Linked DNA regions of Notamacropus eugenii. The main gene of each other region encodes a partner of the protein of the gene in region 2 in a complex. Links are inferred from orthologs where the notes say so. Each region holds a gene or a part of one and is shown on either strand. Other genes may lie near its edges.

Evidence for each region. Proteins that work in one complex are often made in the same cells at the same time.
Region 1: the proteins of ZC3HAV1 (region 2) and KHNYN are in contact, whole or in part, in a crystal structure (PDB 9BGL), measured with the Homo sapiens proteins. The link is inferred for Notamacropus eugenii from reciprocal best matches to the Homo sapiens genes ZC3HAV1 and KHNYN. Residues at the interface, in NP_064504.2 of Homo sapiens: Glu5, Val6, Cys8, Phe9, Lys12, Ile13, Ala16, His17, Glu29, Ile30, Ala31, Leu32, Leu113, Glu115, Phe118, Ser127, Gly128, Leu129, Asn130, Glu133; in NP_001277186.1 of Homo sapiens: His651, Lys652, Asp654, Phe655, Gln658, Arg659, Pro661, Tyr662, Asn677, Phe678.

The regions. Positions count from the first base shown.
Region 1 is NC_092878.1:8,803,821-8,814,024, forward strand, and holds the start of KHNYN (protein KHNYN), read right to left. Parts: upstream 6,083-10,204; 5' UTR 6,027-6,082; coding exon 5,718-6,026; intron 5,163-5,717; coding exon 3,694-5,162; intron 2,556-3,693; coding exon 2,425-2,555; intron 2,311-2,424; coding exon 2,214-2,310; intron 1-2,213. Other genes in the region: CBLN3 (cerebellin-3), read left to right, coding at 7,958-8,209, 8,540-8,659, 9,416-9,613.
Region 2 is NC_092874.1:110,015,493-110,025,696, reverse strand, and holds the start of ZC3HAV1 (zinc finger CCCH-type antiviral protein 1), read right to left. Parts: upstream 4,753-10,204; 5' UTR 4,587-4,752; coding exon 4,294-4,586; intron 1-4,293.

The DNA.
Region 1 (10,204 bases), on a different chromosome or scaffold from region 2:
GAGGGGAACGCACACCCTCAGTTTCCCCGAGGGTACAAAAAACAGTTGCTATTTATATTCATTGAGGGACAGTGCATTTAGAGTTGGAGGCTATTTTGGCCATACAAAGAAAACCACAATGACTGGAATTTAAAGGCTTAGTCAAGTAGCTTCATCTGAAACACAAAGTGTTTTTTAAAGCCTATTTTTCTAGACTACATTTCAAGAAATCATAAATGAAAACTGATTTAGCTCTCTCAAAATAAATAATATTTTTTAAAAAATCGAGCCCCACAGGGCGACCAACAGAAGATGATTAGGATGGTGAGGGACCTTATAGCACTGAGTTGGAGGAACTGGGAACATTTAGCCTAGAGATTAGGAAGGATGGGAAGGCTGGCTCAAGATACAGAAGGAGAGACTGTTCTGCTGGGAGGCCAAGAGCAGAGAGAAAAGCAAAGGATGTAAGGAGCAGAGAGAGTCACTTCCTAAAATTTACAGCAGTGAAGCTCAATGTGAAGAAAGATGTCTACGGTAAATCTGGACAGCTACCAAAAAGCAGGGACATCTATCACCTTGCTGACAAAGGTCTGTATAGTCAAAGCTATGGTTTTTCCGGTAGCATTGTATTGCTGTGAGAAATGGGAAATAAGGAAATCTGCGTGTCCCGGAATCGACTCTCTCGAATGGTGGTGCTGGATGATGAGATTAGCGGAAACCTTTCCGGGGATAACAACTGCAAGCTGGAGAAGACTTTGGAGAGTCCCTTCAACAGCAAGGAGATCAAATTAGTCCATACCTAAAGAAATTAATTCAGGCCATTCATGGGAAGGCCAAATACTGAAGCTGAAGATTACACTTAGATCACATAATGAGAGGACAGGACTCATTGGAAAAGCCCTGATGTTGGAAAAGATTGAAGGCAAAAGGAAAATGGATGGCAATGGATGAGATGGATAGTATCATGAAAGGAATGATCATGCTTGGACAGACTGTGAAAGATGGTGGAAGACAGAAGGACCAAGACATGCTATGTGATCTGTGGGATCCTGGAGAGTATGCTGAGATTGAATACTGAATAACGATTTTCCTAACAATTAGTGCAGCTTGAAAGTGAAATGAGAAGTTCTGGGAGGTAGTGGGTTCCCCCTCAATAGACAATCTTCTCTACTACTCCCCCAAGCTTTGACTGGAAGACAATTTTTTGCTCAAATACAAGTGGGCGTATCACACTATAAGGGTAATCCTGAGTAGTTAGCCATTTCCTTCTTAGCTCATGTTACAGGTAAAGAACTGAAACTGGGTTAAGTGACATGCCCAAGGTCACATAGTAAGTATCTGAGATCAGATTTGAACTCAGGGAAGATGAGTAGTCAGGGCTCAAGCCATCTAGCTCCAGCCAGCCATCTAGCTACCACTGAGTTCCCTTACCACTATGAAATTTAGTGCTTCTCTCAAGCTGGCTGAACACTTCTCCATTCATCTAACCTTTCATGTGTGGATTGAATTAATGAGTGAAAACAATCAGAGCAGATTTCTGGCCTAAGAAAGGATCATCAGATATCTGAGATGGGATCAGAGATGCTTGTGTTCAAGGGACCTCAAGGAACTGAGAAGCCAGCCCCTACATCCCTGATAGGAGCTAGATTCATCACTAATCGAATTAGAAGGACCTTAGGGTCCAAGCCCCTCATTTTCCAAATGAAGAAACTGAGCCTTAGAATCTTGGTGGTAGCCCACAGATTTCATTCTAGTCCTGTCTTCTTTTGGCTCTTCCTCCAGAGCTCCTAAAACACTCTATCTCAAAAAAAAAGTTTCCTTCTCGAGAGAAATTGATGGTTCTCCCCTAATCCCAGTGACCACAATGAAAAGTATGTATTCCTGGCATTTTTGCTGTGTTTCCAGAGAGGACAGAAGCAAGTCTCACACACACACACACACACACACACACACACACACACACACACACACAAGAGGACTTGGGGGGAGAACTGAGACTGGCACAATTGTAAGTCTTTCTTTGTACTTCCCATACTTAGCCCAGTCTCTGGATCATAGCACTTAATAAATTGCGTGTTGACTGTCTTAAGTGACATGACAGAAGGGGCATTGATATCAACCTTCCCCAACTTGAGCTGAGAATAGGTTCTTCTAACCTCCCCTCCTCCATGGTTCTCTCTGCCCTCCCTTCATTCCCCTGTCACCAAGGCTAGGGCTTTGGGGGTGGGGAGTACCTGTCATCATAGGAGGTAATCCTCTTCCCTTCCACAATTCGAGAGGGGGTGACAAAGAGCAGCCTGAGGGACTGTAGTTTAGTCAGGAAATGACGTTCTGTGGGGGAGGGATCCAGATGAGGGTGGGAAGGGATTGAATGGCCTGGTTAGTCCCTGGGTAGGGAAGGTAGGTAGTGGGTAAATAAGAGTCTTGGGGTGAAACTCTGCTCACCTTTCACTTTGGCATCCTTCCTAAGACGACACTGAGGCACAAAGACAGTGATCTCCCGGTGCCCCCGATCCCAGAAATACTGCACAGCTAAGGCAATGCCCCGGCAGGAGAAGAAATGCTGGAGGCCATGGCTGAGAAAGCAAAGAGCTGGGATTAGACTGGTGTCCACGTTGAGAACAAGGCACTTCATCCATACCCCTGTGTCTAAGGCATCCTCCAGGGGGCTCAAAGAGAGCAGACAGACCTATCTTTGGATATAACAAGAAGCAACCAGTGAGACAGGAAAAAAAATATCACTGGCCACAGAGTCCAAAGTGCAGGATCTAGTGCAATCTCCTCCCCATTTTACAGGAAACTGAGGCTGAAGTTAAATGACTTGCTCAAGGTCCCATAGGTAGAAAGTGACAGAGCTACCATTTGAAAGCAGGTCCTCTAGTGCCAAAATCAGCACTCTCTATAGGCAGTCTCTTAGCCTCCACAATGTAATGCTGAAGCCACCCTCGGTGTCTTTAGTGAAGCATTATCTTTACAAATAATCTGAGATCAGTTTATCTAGTAAACAAGACAGAGAGGGAGGCTTTCCCAAAATCACATAGCAAATGAATCACTCTGCTGAAACTAGAACCAAAGACCCAGATTGAGATTTCAGTCCCTTTCCCAACTAGCCACATTACTGAAAACAAGTAACATCATATCTCTGCACCTCCATTTTCATTTCTTCACCTACAAATGACAATAATCAGGGGGATGTTGACAAATGTTTAACAACCAGCTCTCTCGGGGGGAAGACATATACCTATAACACATTTACATTTGGTCTACATTATTAGCATTTTCTGGGTTATTTTCTTAAGTCTAGACCATGAACAGAACAGTAAATTAAGCGTTTATTTGTAGCATTTGCCAATTTCTGTGGGATAAATGCTCACACTGAAAATCTAACCCTTCAAGTTGGCTACCAGGACAGCACTGAAAAATACTTTCACTACCTAGTTCACCATGTGGCTTCAGGTGCTTTGCTGGAATCAGGAAAACCTGAGTTTGAATTCCATCTGGACAAGTCATTTAATCTGTCTGCCTCAGTTTCCTCCACTGTGAAATGAGGATAATTAAATAGTATATATCTCATGGTCAGTAAGAGTACAAGTAAAGCACTTCACAAATCTTAAAGTGCTGTATAAGTGCTAACTATGGTTAGGATGACTATTATCATTTTCTTTAAGCCCTCCCTAACAGTGCCTTCAGGCTGGAGGTCAGAAGAGTACTCACTTCATAGCTATATTGCTGCCATCGAGGACAACATGTCGAAGACCTGTTGCACCAGGAACATTGGTGAGGTTCAAGGAAAACGGCATCTTCAAGGCCTCCAGAAAGCGCTGGGTTTTGGTCACCTCACAGCTGCCACCAGTGTTGCCACCTAAGCTTCCTTTGGGAGTCTCCTGCTCCTTAAGTCCCACTGACTGCCCATCCCCAGGCTTTGGAGAAACAAGCCATGTGGGCTGAGCCCCAGGTAGAATGTTGGGCCCCACTGGTGGGGAGGATTCTCCATTGTTGAGCTGAAGGAGGGGCGTTAGGGGGCCCCTCCACTGCTGGTCACACACCACTGCCTGAGGAGAATGGCCATAGGAATCAGCTGCAGCCTGTTTCACTCCTCGGAGGAAGTCAGCCTTGACAGTGAGTGGGCTCGGGAATTGATCTTGGCTCTGGGGCCCTTCTCCTTGAGACATATCATCAGGTTGATCCTCTCTTTTTAAGGCCTTTCCTTCCAGACACCATAATGTGTCCTGGTCCTCCTCCCTATTATGTCCCCTTTTCCCACAATCCCTCTGCCCAAGGGGCCCTTCTCTGTCCCATTCTCTCCCCATAGTCAAGTCATCCCCATTCCAATCTCTCTCCCCAAGGAACCCATCTTTCCCCCAGTTCCTTTCCCTAGATAGATAATTTCTTTCCTCAGGGATCCCTTCCCTCCTCCAGTTCCTCTGCCCAGGTAATCCCTCCCTGGGACTCCCTGGTCTCTCCAAGTTTCTTTGCCCAGAGAAATTCTGTGTATGGGAGTTCTGTTCCCGGACCAGTTCTCCAATCCTCCTGGAATCCTCCTCTCCCGTGAACCACAGTCTTTCCCAGTCTCTCTCTCCAGGATCAGAAGGCAGACACTCTGCCCTAGCATAAACCCCTTCCTTAACCCCTTCCTGGTCAACAGACCTGGTGCCCAATGAGACAATGTCATCCTCTCTGACTTCTCTGCCCTCACTCGAAATCTTTCTAACAGGGTCCTCCCAAACACCATTCCCCAAGAGAACTGGGCTCCTCTCTTGCCCCTGAGGAGGTTCTGGAAGTCCTTGCTCCCTACCTGCCTCTCTTGCCAAGTTTAACAGCCACTCCTGGACAGGCACTGGCAAATCCAGGAGAGCCCTGGATTGCTCATCCCCATACCTCCCAACCAGGGCCTTGAAGGCCTGAGTCACTTGTTCCCCAGCACTCTTGGACTGTGGACACTGGAGACCACCTTGCCTCAGCTTCCCTAACAGATCTTCCATCCTGCTTTGGGCCATAACAAAGGCTTCGATCAGGCCCCCCAGTAACAGAGAGCCTGGGGCTTGGGGCACCATGTGAGCTGAAGTACCCCAACACAGGCAGTCCAGGAAAAGACCCCCAGCACCAAAGAAGACACAGTGCAGGGCTGCAGGGTAGCTGACTTCCTCCCACACCTCTGGATTGCAAAGGCCTTTCAGGTACTCCTGGAGGAAAGGAAAGGGAAGGAATCATTCTTCTAGCTAATTTCTGTCCTTCTGGTCTGTCTACGCACTCTTCACGCCCTCCCCCCCAGAGCTTCCAGTATTGTGGCTACACACACACACACACAGACACAGACACACACACACACACACACTCACTCACACACACACACACACACACACACACTCACTCACACACACACTCACACACACACACACACACACACACACACACACAACACACACACACAGAAGGGGGAGGGAGGTGGTGCCGTTTAGGAAGGAGAAGGAATCTCAGCTCTCCCTCCCCACCCCAGCCTCTGTATAGAGAGAAGTTGAAACTTGGCAACCTGCAAGAAATGAAACCAAAAATCAAAAGGCAGCGAGAGCCAGGAAATCCCCGAGCGATGGGCCAGAGAGGCGGAGGAAGTGGACGAGGGACAGCAGCGACTCCGGCCAAGGGGAGCCTCTCCAAGAGCAGGACCACGGGCCCTCTGGGGGACCTTCTCCCCCCCTCCCACCCCCACCCCCCCAGCCCGAGGGAAGGGGAAGTGTCACCTTGGCTCTGCCCACGTTCTCCCGGGGCCCCTCCAGCTGCAGCCAGATGTGGGGGCTCCCCGCGCAGGCCTTCTCAAGGACACTCAGCCGCACTCGGAAGATGCGCTCCACCTGAGGCCGCTGTTTCAGCACTACGTCCTCCGCATCGGCCAGCACCGTGAAGCGGTCCGTGGTCCCAGGAGCGGCCCCCGACGGGAGCATGGTGGCCGGGCCAGCCCTGACAGCGTGGGAAGAAGCCAGGCTCAGACATGGCAGCCCCTCTGCGCGAATCCTCCCCGCTCCCAGGATCGGATCTGGCTCCAACGTCATAGCCCCGAACCTCAAGTCCCACAGGGTTAGCCAACTACGCTCCGCCCCTATCCCCCCAGCTGACCCCGGGGACGGTGCTCCTGGTGGTGGTCCTGGCTGCCCCGTCGTGGGGCTGTCCCATCCAGGGGCATAAACCTCTGCTGCTCTCTCGGGCTTTCTGAGTCCTCGTCTCCTCGGTCTCCCCTAGTACTTCCATCCCTCCCCTGGGGAGAAATGGGAAGGTGGAAAGGCGCTGATCCGTCTTGGCTCCCGGAGTACCTAGAGCTTATGGCCAGCGATCTCGGTGTCCTACAGCTCGTGAGCCCGAAGCTCCCGCCCTGGAGGTAGAGGGGCAAGAGGGAGCAGGTCTGGAGTTCCACCGGACCCTGGCAGACCCCAGGTTCCTGACTGTCTCACGTACACAACTGCTTTCCTCCTCACTTCCTGGTCAGGGGAGGAGTTTTACTCAGCTCCACCCTGGGGCTGACCTGGCCCTGGCGACTTTGGGTCTCCACCCAGGCTGTCAGAGGGCGGGGGCAAAGGGGTGATGGGGAGGAGGGCGGAAGACGACCAGAGGCTCGCTCTAGCCTGTCCCTATTCCTGTCCCCCGTCCATCTTCCCTCCTTCCATCTTTTACTTCTGACTTCTTCCTGCCCTTGCCTTTCTCCTTATTTTCTCTCTTCTTTCTTCCTGCCTCAGTTTTCCATAATTCTCCCCTCTGCCAGCCTCCCCTAGTACATTGTTTATAAATTGGAAATGGCATCCTAGAATCCTAGTACTGTAATATCTGTTGATCTGAATTTTAGAGCTAACCGGGTCCTCAGAGATTATCTCATCCAACCCTCTTCATTTTGCAGAAGAAAAAACTAAGCCCTAGGGGTCGTTACTCGGCCCAAAATCAGGTTCCCAGAGTGTGATCCAGGGACCCTGCGGAGACAGGGGAGGGTGATAAGGGTGAGGGCCACAAGGCCAAACTATTTTCATAAGAATACTGACATTTTAATTTCTAATACACTAAATATCCGTAGATACAGCCCATAGAAACAAAAGCTCTTGGAGAATCCTTAATAATTTTTAGGAGTTTAAAGGGGCCCAGAGACCAAAATGTCACGGCGTTCATTAGTGGCAGAACCTGGCCTAGAACTCATTCATGTCTGCTGGTTCCTGGCTTACTTTCCTTTCCAGAACTTTAATTACTTGGGAAAAGAGATGGCTACCCCTTTCCACAGCTTCCTATGATTCTCAGTACAAGAAAAAGATATTAGGGAGAGCTGGGGGCTGGGGAGGAGTGCATGGGAAGGAGGGGGAAAAGAGAATGGGGCTTATTAAGGGAGCAGGATCATCAAAATTTATCCCACTAATATCTACGCATTTTAGGTTTGCATAGCACTTTGCATGTTATCTTATTTGTTAAGGATGAAGGGGAGAGAAAGGCAACATTACATTAACATCAACAACCAGGTGTGTAAGGAGCTGGGGACAGAGGGAGAAGCCCCTCATCCACACTCCTATCTCTCATCAGCTCTAGCTCCTGCCTCACTGGCTCTCAAGGACTTTCCCTGGGGTCCTGGCTATGCTCCCTCTCATTCCTCCTCCTTTTCCCTCTGTTCCTTCCTGGGGCCCATTGGCTGTCTGTTGTGCACTCTGCCAGAGGGGAGGGATCCGTAGCAGTGAGTGGCAAGACACAGAGACACACAGATCCTGTGGGTCCCAGGTAGAGATGGAACAAGAGATAGATAGACCAGTTGACAAGGAGACTGGGGCAAAGAAACAAGAGGGGCAGTTAGTATAAGACCAAAGAGGCAGAAGAGGGCAGGAAGGAGACTATAGGAGGGAGAGAAACTGAAGGAGGGAGAGCTACAGAAAACAAAAAGAGGTATAGAGGGCTTCATTCCTGTAGGGCAGGAGATAAAAGTGGTCCTGGACACTGGGAAAAACCAGCTGAGCCCGTAATGTCTTTCCTGACACTTGTACTCCTGGCTTTCGGATCTGGTCAGGCACAGGAAGGGACAGAGCCTGTCCTGTTGGAAGGAGAATGCCTTGTGGTATGTGAACCTGGCCGGGCAATGGCAGGAGGTCCAGGCGGCGCAGCCCTGGGAGAGGCTCCACCAGGGCGGGTGGCCTTTGCTGCTGTCCGGAGCCACCATCATGAACCAGCTGGAGAAACAGGCAATGGCACCAGTGGCGCCATCTACTTTGACCAGGTAACATTCTTCCCCTACCACATCCACCCCACCTGCTGACCCCTGAATGGAGAGGAAAACTGGCTTCTATTCTGAGTCCCACTCAGTCTTCTACCCTCCCAGAGTTCATCTCTTCTTCTCTCTTTAAGAAAACCAGCCCAATCGCCATTTCCTACACCTTTCTCCCCTTTCCCCAAGTAGTCTTATTCAAGAGTCTTCCTTACCCCCTTTACCCCATTCATCCATTCCTTCCCTCTACTCCCCACCCTTTCCTTTTTTTACACCCCACCAATTCCTCTTTCTCACCCTTCCCATAATGTTTTTTTCCTGACCCTCTCTCCCTCTGCCCAGGTCCTAGTGAATGAAGGCAATGGCTTTGACAGGGCCTCAGGCTCCTTTATTGCCCCTGTCCGGGGTGTCTACAGTTTCCGGTTCCATGTGGTAAAGGTGTACAACCGCCAGACAGTTCAGGTGAGCCCAGAGCCCTGCTTCTCCTAAAGTTCAAGGAGAGGAAGAGAGAGGCAAAGGCAGTCTGGATACACCCAGCCCCATCCCTGACTCACACTGGGTTTCTCAATTCTAGTTTAGTCACCTGCCCCCACTTTAAGACAGTGTCCACAGGACTCCATAGGAGTCTGGATCACCTCTGTCCAGTAAGTAGGGCTGGAGATCCTGGCAAAGTCCAAAGGTCCACTTCTAAAGGTTGAGTGGCAGTTGTAGGCCAAGTCAAGGGAGATAGAATATATGTAGCCCTCCTGGCCCAGGGAATTTGGAATCCTGGTACAGGGAGCCTTAGGGTCACTAAGATCATAGACACAGAACCTAGTTAACCCTTGCTCTCTCGGAAGGGCTAAGATTTAGAAGGAAGGAGACAAGCATTTATTAAGTGCCTACTATGTGCAAGGCCCTGTACTAAGTTTACAATAACCCTAAAAAGTAGATGCTATTATTACGTCATTTTACATTTGAGGAAACTGAGTGAGACAGAAGTCAAGGGTCTTACCCAGAGTCACATAGCTAGTAAGTGTCTGAGGCTGGATTTGAACTCAGATATTCCTGCGTCGAGGCCAAGTGCTCCATCCACTGAATCACCTAGCTACCTCAGAAATGATGAATGACCCCACTGAAAGAGTCGCTATACCAAAATCCAAAGATTTCTTAGACTATGGGGGGGGGGGGGGGTCCCAGGGTAAAGGGCCTAATTACCCCAAATTCACCCTTCCCCAGGTAAGCCTGATGCTGAATACATGGTCTGTGATCTCAGCTTTTGCCAATGACCCTGATGTGACCCGAGAGGCGGCCACTAGTGCTGTGCTCTTACCCCTGGACCCTGGAGACCGAGTGTCCCTGCGTCTCCGCCGAGGGAACCTGCTTGGTGGCTGGAAGTTCTCCAGTTTCTCTGGCTTTCTGATCTTTCCTCTCTGAGGGAAAGTACCACCCTCTCGGCTTGCTACCCTCCCTACTACCCACCTCCACCCTCCCCCACCCCACAAACATACCCTGAATTCCTTCACTTCTGTTCACCTTCTTCTTGGAATGCAGGAATGTCAAGGGACTTTCTTCAGGGGAAGGGACTTTAATAAGCCCTGGGTCTCTAATATTCATTCATTTCAAAACCAGCAGTACTATCCCTGGAACTGGGAGTATGACCTTATATTCTACACCCCCAAATCATAATGCAAATATAGCTAATCCTTTAGATAAGTGTTATTAAAAGGACAATTTCTTTTCCCAAAAACTGTCATCTTACTAAAAATCCAGGACATGTAGCTGACATATTCATTTCCTATTCTTCTGCATGAGAACAAGTGCCAAACCCTCCATGATAAATAAATGAGTTGACTGCAGGTGTAAAGCCAGTTTTGTCGTCAGTATATCCCTCTGATTTCAGCCTAACCTACCCCTCTCTCTCACCCATAATGCCCCACTTTGCTCTGTATTTGCATCAGTAAAGAAAATGCTACTAATTCCTTGTCTCTACTGCCCTCCCCAAAACACACATCTCCCAGCTATATT
Region 2 (10,204 bases):
ACTACACAATCCCTAAGATCTTTGTAATTTCCACTTCTAAAAGTCTGTGATTCATAGTTCTTTATAACTTTCTTACTTTAAATAATTAATTCCACAGTTCTCTCTCTCTCTCCCTTCCCCTCTATCTGTGTATATAAACACATACACACACAACCATTATCAACAAACAGAACAGAAGCAAAAGAAATACACATAACAATCTTTTCATCAAAATTGTGAATTTTCCTATTGACTAGAGAAATACAAATCAAAACAAAACTGAGGTATCAACTCATATCAATCAGACTGAATAAGACAAAAAAAGGGATAATGACAAATATTGGAAAAGATGGAGGAAAATTAGAACACCAATATACCGTTGGAGTTGTGAACTGATCCAACCATTCTGGAGGACAATTTGGAACTATACAAAAAGGGCTATAAAACCATGTATACTCTTTGGTCCAACAATAGCACTACTAGGTCTGTATCCCAAAGAGATCACAAAAAAGGGGAAAGGACCCACATGTACAAAAATACAGCAGCTCTTTTTGTGGTGGCAAAGAATTGGAAATTGAAGGGATGTCCATCAATTGAGGAAGGCTGAACAAGTTGTGGTATATGAATGGAATGGAAGACTGCTGTTCTATAAGAACATGATAGAACATGTTCTATAAGCAAGCAGAATTCAGAAAAACCTGGAAAAACTTCATGACATGAACTGATGCTGAGTGAAGTGAGCAGAACCAGGAGAACACTGTACACAGAACAGCCACACTGGGGCTGCACAAAGTCAGCGCAATGACTGAATTTGATAAGACTTAGCTCTTCTCAGTAATGCAAAGATCTAAGACAATTCATGAAGGAAACACTATCCACATCTAGAGAAAGAACTATGAAGGCTGAATGTACATCAAAGCATCCTAATTTCTCTCTTTTATTTTCTTTCTTGTGATTTTTCCCTTTTGTTCTGATTCTTCTTTCATACCATGACTAATGTGGAAATATGTTTAATATTATTATACACGTATAGCTTATATCAAATTGCATGCCATCTGGGGGAGGGGAAAGGGGGGGAATTGGAACTCAAAATGTTATAAAAGTGAAAGCTGAAAACTAAAAATAAATTTTAAAAAACCCAAAGATGTGAATTTTCTCTCAACAGAAACATGAGGAAATAGCATGTTTTTGCAAGGTTCTATTTTCTTCTATGATGAAGAGAATGTCAGCAGGTCAGAGGTATGAGTCATCAACATAACCAAATGACATTCACTGAAGAATTTACTAGGCATAAGACATTATACACACGGTTGATATAAGAGTTGTAAAACAGTCACTGCTCTCAAAGAATTTACAATCTAGGGGTAAAAGATGGGACAGAAACAAAAGCATATAAAACACCATAAAAAAACTTATTTATGTTAAATACCAAACAAAATGCAGCAGGAGTTCAAAAGGAGGAATATTCCTATAAGGCTGAGAGGTGGGAAGGGGAACCGGGACAGGGAAGGGCTTGGGAGGTGGAGAGGAAGGAAGGAGGTGAGACTAGAGTTTATCCTTGAAGGGAAGGCATAGATTATCAGAAGCAGGGAGAGGGTGAGACATTTCAGGTATAAAGGAGAGCACAAAGACTGGGAGGCAGGAGTGCCCAAGGCACATTTGGGGGAACAAAGAGCAAAACAGTTTGGCCAGTATGGGCTTCGTATAGGGCAGAGGTGTCAAACAGGAGGCTCAGAGGTCTGAGACCCACAACATTTCCTATTGCAGGAGGGAACCAGATTATAATGTAATTTTATTATTTATTTTATTATTATGTATATTTTTATTGTAGGAGGGAACCAGATTAAAATGTAACTAATTTATTTTTTATTATTATTATTACTGTTATTTATTACAAGAGGGAACCAGATTAAAATATAATGGTCATCTTTCACATCTTTGGTCAGTAAAATAAAGCTTTAATGAGCTTGGAAAAACAAATTTAAAAACATAAAAACAAGTAATGCATAGATAATTTTAGCAAGTGGTTTCTAAGTCAATATGTAGCTGCAGAGATCGTTATGTACAGTTTAGTGGCCCCCTTTCTCTTTGACACCCGTGGCACAGGGGATGGTCAAGGAAAAGGTTGGAGAGTCATCCAGGGTTATATGGGGAGGGCCTTGCTTATCAGACTGTGTCTGCACCTCTGCCATGGGGAGCCATTAAAGATTTCTGAGCAGAGTGGGTAGTGACGTACAAATGTTTCAGAATGATTAACCTGTGGGCAATGAATGGAATAAACTGTAATGAGGAGATAATTGAAGACAGGGAGACCGCCAGCAGTATACTTCAATGGTCCAGACAATGGGTGATGGGAGCCTGAATTAGGAAAGTGGCTTCAGCAACAAATGGGAAAGATGGACACAAGATATTATAAAGAAAACCCCTAGATCAGGAATTCTTAACCTGAGGTCCCTAAATCCACAAGGCATGGATAGATTTCAGGGAGTCTGTGAACTTAGAGGAAAAAAATTATACATTTATTTTTAATAACCTTTAGTTTCTTTCATAACCTAAGGTATTTAATTTTATGCATTGAAAAACTTCATTCTGAAAGGGGGACCCATAGGTTTTATCAGAATGCCAAATCCACAACACAAAAAAAACTCACTTGCTGTACTGGGAGTTGTGAGCAAGTGAAAGAAAAAGAATCAGAAATAAAATAAGAAGAAGAATTGCATTTGTATAGCATTTTAAAGTTTGCAAATTATTATGTACCGTTGAGGTTTTGTTACCTGTTAGAATGATGATACATGTGACAAAAGGAGGTTGGTTTAGAGGGAAAGATGATGACATAGATTTGAGCTGTTGGTAGGATACTAGGTGCCCCCTTTTCCACCGGGCAGATAGGTGGAGAGACCGGCCCTGGGGCTTATCAGAGAAACAGAAGTAAATTTGGGTGAGAAAGCCACAGTGCTTCCCAGGAACACATGAGATCTCCACGGGGGAAAGAACAATGTGGAAGCAAAAATGGAAGACACAAAAGCTGCTTCAGGGACTAAGCTTTGGAGTACCACCTAACATACAGGAAGAGAGACAAAGAAGGGGCCCGGGTTACAGGAGGAAGCCAGAAGAGAATTCTAGCTGTAAGAAAGGATGAGCTGGTTGATTTACAAAAAACATGGAATGACTTTAATGAATTAATGAAAAGCAAGGAGCAAATGTACGAGAATGTGGTAGACGGTAACAGCAATGTTTGAAGAGTAACTGAACCCAGGTAACCGAAAAAAACAAAACAAAACAAAACCTAAAAAAAGGAATAACTGTGAATGATTAATCAATTCTGAGGATTATCACTAGTCAAAGCAACTCCAAAAGACCTACGACGGAAGATGAGATCCGCCTCCAGAGAAGGAGAGGATGCACAGAAGCACGAACAGTTATCCATCTAACATGTACATATACATTGTGTCAGAGGGTGGGCTTCTCTAGCGCGGTAACAAAAATAAATAAAGCCTCTAAAAAAAAGAATCCCGGGGGTGGCTGGCCCATCAGCACTGATAACCGGAACAAAGTTTCGGTGGTGATAAGAACTAAAGTAAAGGTAAAAGACTATGACAATGGGGGGCGGGGCACAATGGGAAGGAGGGGAGGCGGCCGGGTCCCGTTGGGGTTACGGATTTTTCAGAGGCAGAAGGCTGGGAGTGCGGGCTTTGGGGGCCAGACAGCAGAGTACGGACTGGGTGGACACGTCCGGCGGGGCCGCGGGACCTGGGCAAGGCGCCGGGGGAGTGCCCAGCCTCAGGCTTTTCTAATCCAGTCTGTCTCTCTGATAAACCCTGTTTCGGGGCCCATCCGCCCACAGGGCAGGGGATAGAAGGCACAAGTTTTTAAAATACTGAAAACAACTTGCAGCCAAGTTACACGTAAGCAGGAAGTGGAGGGCAGCAGTGTTCAAAGTAGAGGCTGTTCCGATGAGGGGCCAGATTAGCCGAATCCGGGCAGGGGGTGCGGGGGATGCGGAGGCGGGGGGTGGACGGGCCTGGACTTCCCGGGATGGGCTGGGAAAGGGAGGGGAGGGCTGGGAGAGAGGGGAATAGAAAGGAGGTGGGGGGACAGAAAGGAGGGAGAAATGCCAAGGGGGCGGGAATGGAAAGGAAGGGGACTTGAAGGGGAGGTGGATGAGGAGGGGGGACGGAAGGGAGAAGGAACAGAGGCGGCGGGGGAGGGATGGAGGCGAAGGGGGTGCAAGGCTTGGAGGGTGGGCGTGTGGGAGAAGGGAAGGGAGAGGGCCCGGGGGTCCGGGCCCCGGGGTCCGGCCGCGGCCGCGCTCACCTCTCGCGGCGGCACCTGCCCATCAGGTTGAGCTTGCAGAGGTGCAGGGCCTCGCAGGCGCCCCCGCACACGATGCGCCGGCACACCCGCACGCGGGTGGTCGCCAGCACCGTCGGGCCGGCGTCGCTGTCCTCGTCCAGGAGCACGAAGCGATCGGGGCCGGCTTCTCTCAGCACCTCCAGGAGCTGCGCCTCGGGCAGCTCGATGAAGCCGAGCAGCTTGCGGAGCTCCATGCGGCCCCCATGGGTGCACAGGACCTGGGTGAGGAAGCCGCACACGGCCGGGTCCGCCATGGCCAGCCCGGGCTCCGCGAGCGCAGCCGCCCAGGAAGCCGAGCGGACTCCGAATCGGGACTGCCGAGGCTGGGCTAGGGAAACGAAACTTAGAGCTCCGAGGGGGCGGGCCCAACCGGGGGCTCTGACTTTCCGGAAACGCCCCAGCCCGGGGCTGCCTCCTGGAGATTAGCTTCTAGTGGGAAAACTGCTGGTCTGGGAGCCCTCGATCGGGGACTTCCCTGGGGAGGCTCGGCAATTACCCCAGACTTTCACTGCCTTCCAGAACAGCTGGTGCGCAGGGCGAGAAAGCGAAGGAAAGAGGGGGAGCCCCTTTCCCCCGACCTCCTCCTCCTCCCTTCTCCAACTCCTGCCAGTTCTGCCTGGGAACAGCCCTCCCCCCCGGGCTTCTTACGTCGAGTCTCGGCTAGTCCAGAAATGAGCCCGGGCTGCGCCGTAGGACTAGCCCGCGGTGCTGGTCGCTGGCCCTGGGCTCCCTCCCACCCCGGGCCCCGGACTCTCCCCTTCCTCGCTCTGCATTTCTCTGCCCCCTACGTATGTCTGTAAGTTCCGTAAGTGGAAAGGATTGTTTTCATTCTTGGTGTAGCCGCCCACCGAGTCCGACGTTTAGTGGGCGCTTAATAAAAAAAAGGTTGATTTCCATTTTTTCCTTCGTATCTTCTACTTAATAGCGGTAATGCCCTACCTCCCCGTAGGATTTGGGAGGGTCACGTGAGACAACACAGCACATAAAGAACTTTATAACTGTAAATAGGAGATACTATGATTTGTTTATCCAATAAATTCTGTTGCATGCTTATTTTTCACTTATGCCAAAGTTGTTCGTCGTTTAAAAGAATTTGTATTACTATTTTCACATTACTTTCTTTACAAATGAATCCAAGGGTGTGATGGAGCCAATTCAGATGATAGCTTAAGAGCCAACTGTTAATTTTTCAAAGTGATCATTTACACTTCAGAATTGTTTTACTAGTTATCTTGACTTAAAGTGGTGGAGAACTGTTCGTGTAACTGGAACTTTAAAATGTATACTGCACACATTTTTCCCCAGAAAGCCAGTTGAACATTTACGAGTACATCCCTTCCCATCCCTCTTAACAAAGAATAAAAACGAGGGGGAAAAAATCATTTCAGCAACAGTAACCAACCTATCTGTCAGACGTGTCGGTACATGCAACTTACTTCTGCCAAAATAGGGGAAAACCCCAATTTCTCATCTCTTCACTGAAGCTAAGCTTGGTCTAATTACACATTATCCAGTTTCAGGATTTTGTTCTTTCCATTTATATGGTTGTAGTCAATTAAATAAGCATTGATTAACACATACTATGTCTCTGGCACTGTGCTAAACCATGGGGATAAAAGAAAGGCCAAAGACAGAAGTTCTTGCCTTATTCTTTTAAAATAATTTTTATTGGTAACTTTTATTTTCCATAATTACTATCCTACTCAGTAAGACACCACTTGTAAAAAGAATAAGAAAAAGGGGGAGAGGAGTTTAGAAATTTTTAAAACCTTGTCAACTGATTCTGATTCCATACCTGTACCTCTCTACCTCCGTAAAGGAGGGAAGAAAATAGTCTTGCCTTATGAACTGCTGGTGCCAATTCTTTTTTATCTCTGGTTAAAAAAATCCTTCTTTTGGATTTGTATTTCCAATGCTTAGCCCAGTGCACAGCACATAATAAACATGTAATAAATGCTTACTGATAATAAGTATTAATAAATACTAATGTTAAATATTAGCAAATATTAATAGACTAATAAATAATAAATGATGTCAACGAGCATTTATTACAATATAATATATTTATACCTAGTATGTTCTATAATTCTATATTCCATTCAATCATATAATCATAATTATATAATATATAATCACTGATATCATATAAATATGATTGACTCATTAAAATAGCAGAATGTGTCATTCGGTCAGTCAGTCATGCAGTTATTTGATCATACCTTTAAACTCAAATCACTCTAGCTTTTATTGGCCAATAATAGCCCTCTGGCTAAGCCTCAGCAGGTCATTGTTTAGATTTTGATGACTTAGAATGAGGGTAAATGGAAATTGTTTTCTGTTCAGGCCAGAAATTCTACGGGTCTTCCATTCCAAGATTGATGTTTTTGTGATGGTAATTTACCATCTGGTTTTGTTTTGGATTTTGTTTGGTTGTGGTGGTTTAGGGTTTTTTTTTGTCTCAATTCTTACCTAGCCCTTAGTCATAGAATGGACATTGCCTCAGACAACTGAGACCTGGAAAAGACCTTAATTTAGAAAGGCCAAGATCAGTCACTGCATCCTGAGCCATCAACAATGGTCTTGACTTTGTGTTGCTGATGGACTTTGATGACCCTGGAGGAGAGAATGAGACAGACAACTTTGCCTCACTTAAATCCAGTTCACTAACAAGTATAGACATCCACCTCATTGGTTCTCCTCGAGATTGGAGGTAAGCAACAGCAATAACCAAGAAAGTCAGTGAAATGATTGTTCGTCTCTTAAAATTTGCCTACTTAGTTTCACCATTTTATTTTGTCAGTATACATTCTATACCAGTCTATACCTTGCTCTAACGTGGTAGGATGATTATGGGCCAAGTCTGCTTCTTCCTGATTCAGTCATAACAATGAAAGACTCAGACATTATTCTTCTGTCTAGAATGCCTTCCTGCACCTCCGTGCCATGACTTGCTGAAATTGCGTTGATGGAAGGATAGAAGTTCCTCTTTGCATTAAGCAGATGAAACTGAGAATGGTGTTCTGCTCCTCCTGTTTCTCCCAATCAATTTCTTCTCAAGGGTTTGGCTGGAAGTTCCACCACTAAACTGTTGGAGACTGAAGTCCCTGATCCCAGACTAATTTATTGGTTTTATACAGGCCCCACAAAGCAAGTCTTTCAACCAATCAGAAAAAAAAAAAAACAACTTGCGGCATCCAAATGAAATGCCATTAATTGAATGATTCAGTGGAGTTATCCAGGCCTTGTTGTGTACCTAGTTCACACTTCTGGATGATTCAATACAGATGAGTTCTTATCTGATTTTTCTTTGCAATCTTTTGCCTAATTTATGCACTGATTTGGTCAATAGACCCTCATCCTTACAGTATATTAGAGCATATTTTGTGTATGAGTGGGAATAAAGAGCTGCTGGGGTCCCTTTCAACCCCCAAATTCTGTGATTCTATGACAAATTGAGCATTCTGTCAATGATGATTTCAGCCTCTTTCTGCTACTTGTGGTTTGTCATTTTAAAATTGCCACAAGGGAAAGGCAACATATAGTAGATAGAGAGCTGGCTTACAGTCATGACAACCTGAATTCAAGGTCAGTCTCTTCTAGAAATATGGGAATTGAGTGATCCACAATGACTAAATTCAAGAGAAACCAATTATATTGAAATGTAGTGATCAGTTTTTAAAGACAGATTCATAGATCCTTGATTAAGAACCCTTAACTTAAGGGGAGAGGCTCATGGTAAGTTTGCTGATCACAAAAATGATTGATGAGGCTTTGCTGATGAAAGGACCACTTGCTTAAGATGTCATGCCAGCAGTTAGTTACTGCCTTTTCCTGTGTATATACATAGGAATATACATACATTGTATAAAGTGCCTGGAACATAATAACCCTTCATAAGTGTTGTCAATTGATTGACTAATTTCCCTCCATAAATATATCCAAGAAAACCCAATTTCCATCAGCAAGAAGACACTTTTTTTGATATCTGAAAACTTGCTGTACATATAACAAATAAGGTAAAAACTATTACTTGCCAAAATTTTGTTTTGAAGAAGTCTTTGTTTCTGCAGCTGCAGCTGTGACCTTGAAGAGATTAGAGAGGGAAAATTTCTCCCCTCTACAAAAAATGTACTTGTATCGCTAACTAACTCCAAAGAGCAGTGGGAGGCCTTAGTGGATATATAGTGGATATCAGTTGACACGTAGCTATGTTTTCTGCTTTTTCCAAGTAATCTTCTTCATTGTGAGTGGAGATTTATTAGTAGGAAACTGGTATTTCAAAACTCGTTTTGTTTGTCTCTATTTTTTCCACCTTGTCCCCTCCCTTCCTAGCAATGTTTTTCTCAACAGCACATACCCAGCGAGCAAGGAAGAGAGTTTTGCAAGACTTAGCTTACTTTTTAAAAGTAAGAAAAGGGAGATTAATATTGTGGGAAAACAGGAAGTTTTATTTCCACAGTTTGATGGGGGGGGGGGGGTGACCTAGTACAATGAGGTGAAGATCTGAAAACTACTGTGCATGCTCAATAAGTTGTTTAAGGGAAAGCCTATCAGAGGAGGACATGAAGTCACGTGGCCAGGGGACAGTATTGAGGGAAATCCAAAGTTCGGAATTCTATAAGGGTCCTGCCTCATCCTGACATGGTCATAGTCTTTCCAGTGGCCATGCTGGAAGCTACCAGTTCCTTCAGGGGAGGAACATAGAAGGCCTAACCTCCTCTGAACCCATTTTTAATAAATTTTTCTTGATGCCTTTTTTGTGTCAAGTTCATCTCTAACAATATTATATGGAAACATATTCTCTACGTGTTTACGTAAATATAAATGTAACAATTTGCTGTTAAAGTCAATTTCATCTTTATTCGTTACTGCTCCATAAGTGAGTAAATCAACAAATATTTATTAAGTCCCTACAGTGTTCCAGGAGCCATGCCAAGTGCTGGAGGTAGAAAGACAAAATTGAAACTGAAACAAAACTCTCAAGGAGCTCATATTCTATTGGAGAAGCCAACATATGCATATATGAACATTACAAAGTCAAAGGAAAATGCAAAAACAAGGTAGTTAGAGACAGAGAGAGACAAAAAGGAGGGAGGGAGGGAAAGAGCACTAGGGTATGTTTTTGTGGGAGGAAAAAAAACTAATAAAGTTAGATCCTGCAGGATCAAATCAGACTTAGAACACACACCTCATCACTATCTTCTGCCCCTTTGACTGGAGGGCAAAGCCATGAACTCTAAAACCTCTAATTGAGAAGGGGGCTATTTCTCACCTGGCTGTATTACTTTGGCACTTTTCTTATTTCTCCCCCATACCCCCCCTTCCTTGGGTACCTCTCCTTCACCCTTTTCAGCTTCCTATTATGTATTGTCTTTCCCAATTAGACTGGATTAGAGCAGGCTTGGGGAACCTCCAGCCTTTTATTCTACAATTAAATTTGTTCTGTGAAGTTGGATTCAGTCAAAGGGCTGTTCTTGAGGACCTAGAGGGCCACAAGTGGCCGCCAGCTCTCAGGTTCACCACCCTTGGATTAGAAGCAGCTAAGTGGCTCAGTGGATAGAGCACTGGGCCCAAAGTCAGGAAGACCTGAGTTCAAACACTAGCTGTGTGAGCCTCGACAAGTCACTTAACCTCTGTTTGCCTTAATCCACTGGAGAAAGAAATAGCAAATCACTCCAGAATTGTTGAAAAGAAAACTCTCTATTGACTGTGGAGGCACTTAAAAAGGCCCATCAGAGTTCATTACACTCTCTTAGCCCAATTTACTCTTGGAATCTAGTGAAGGCAGTGGAGTCTTGAAATGGTGGGAGAGTAAGCCATCAGAATTGGAAGTCTGAGACAAGATGTAGTTTCATCCCAATATCATTGCCTC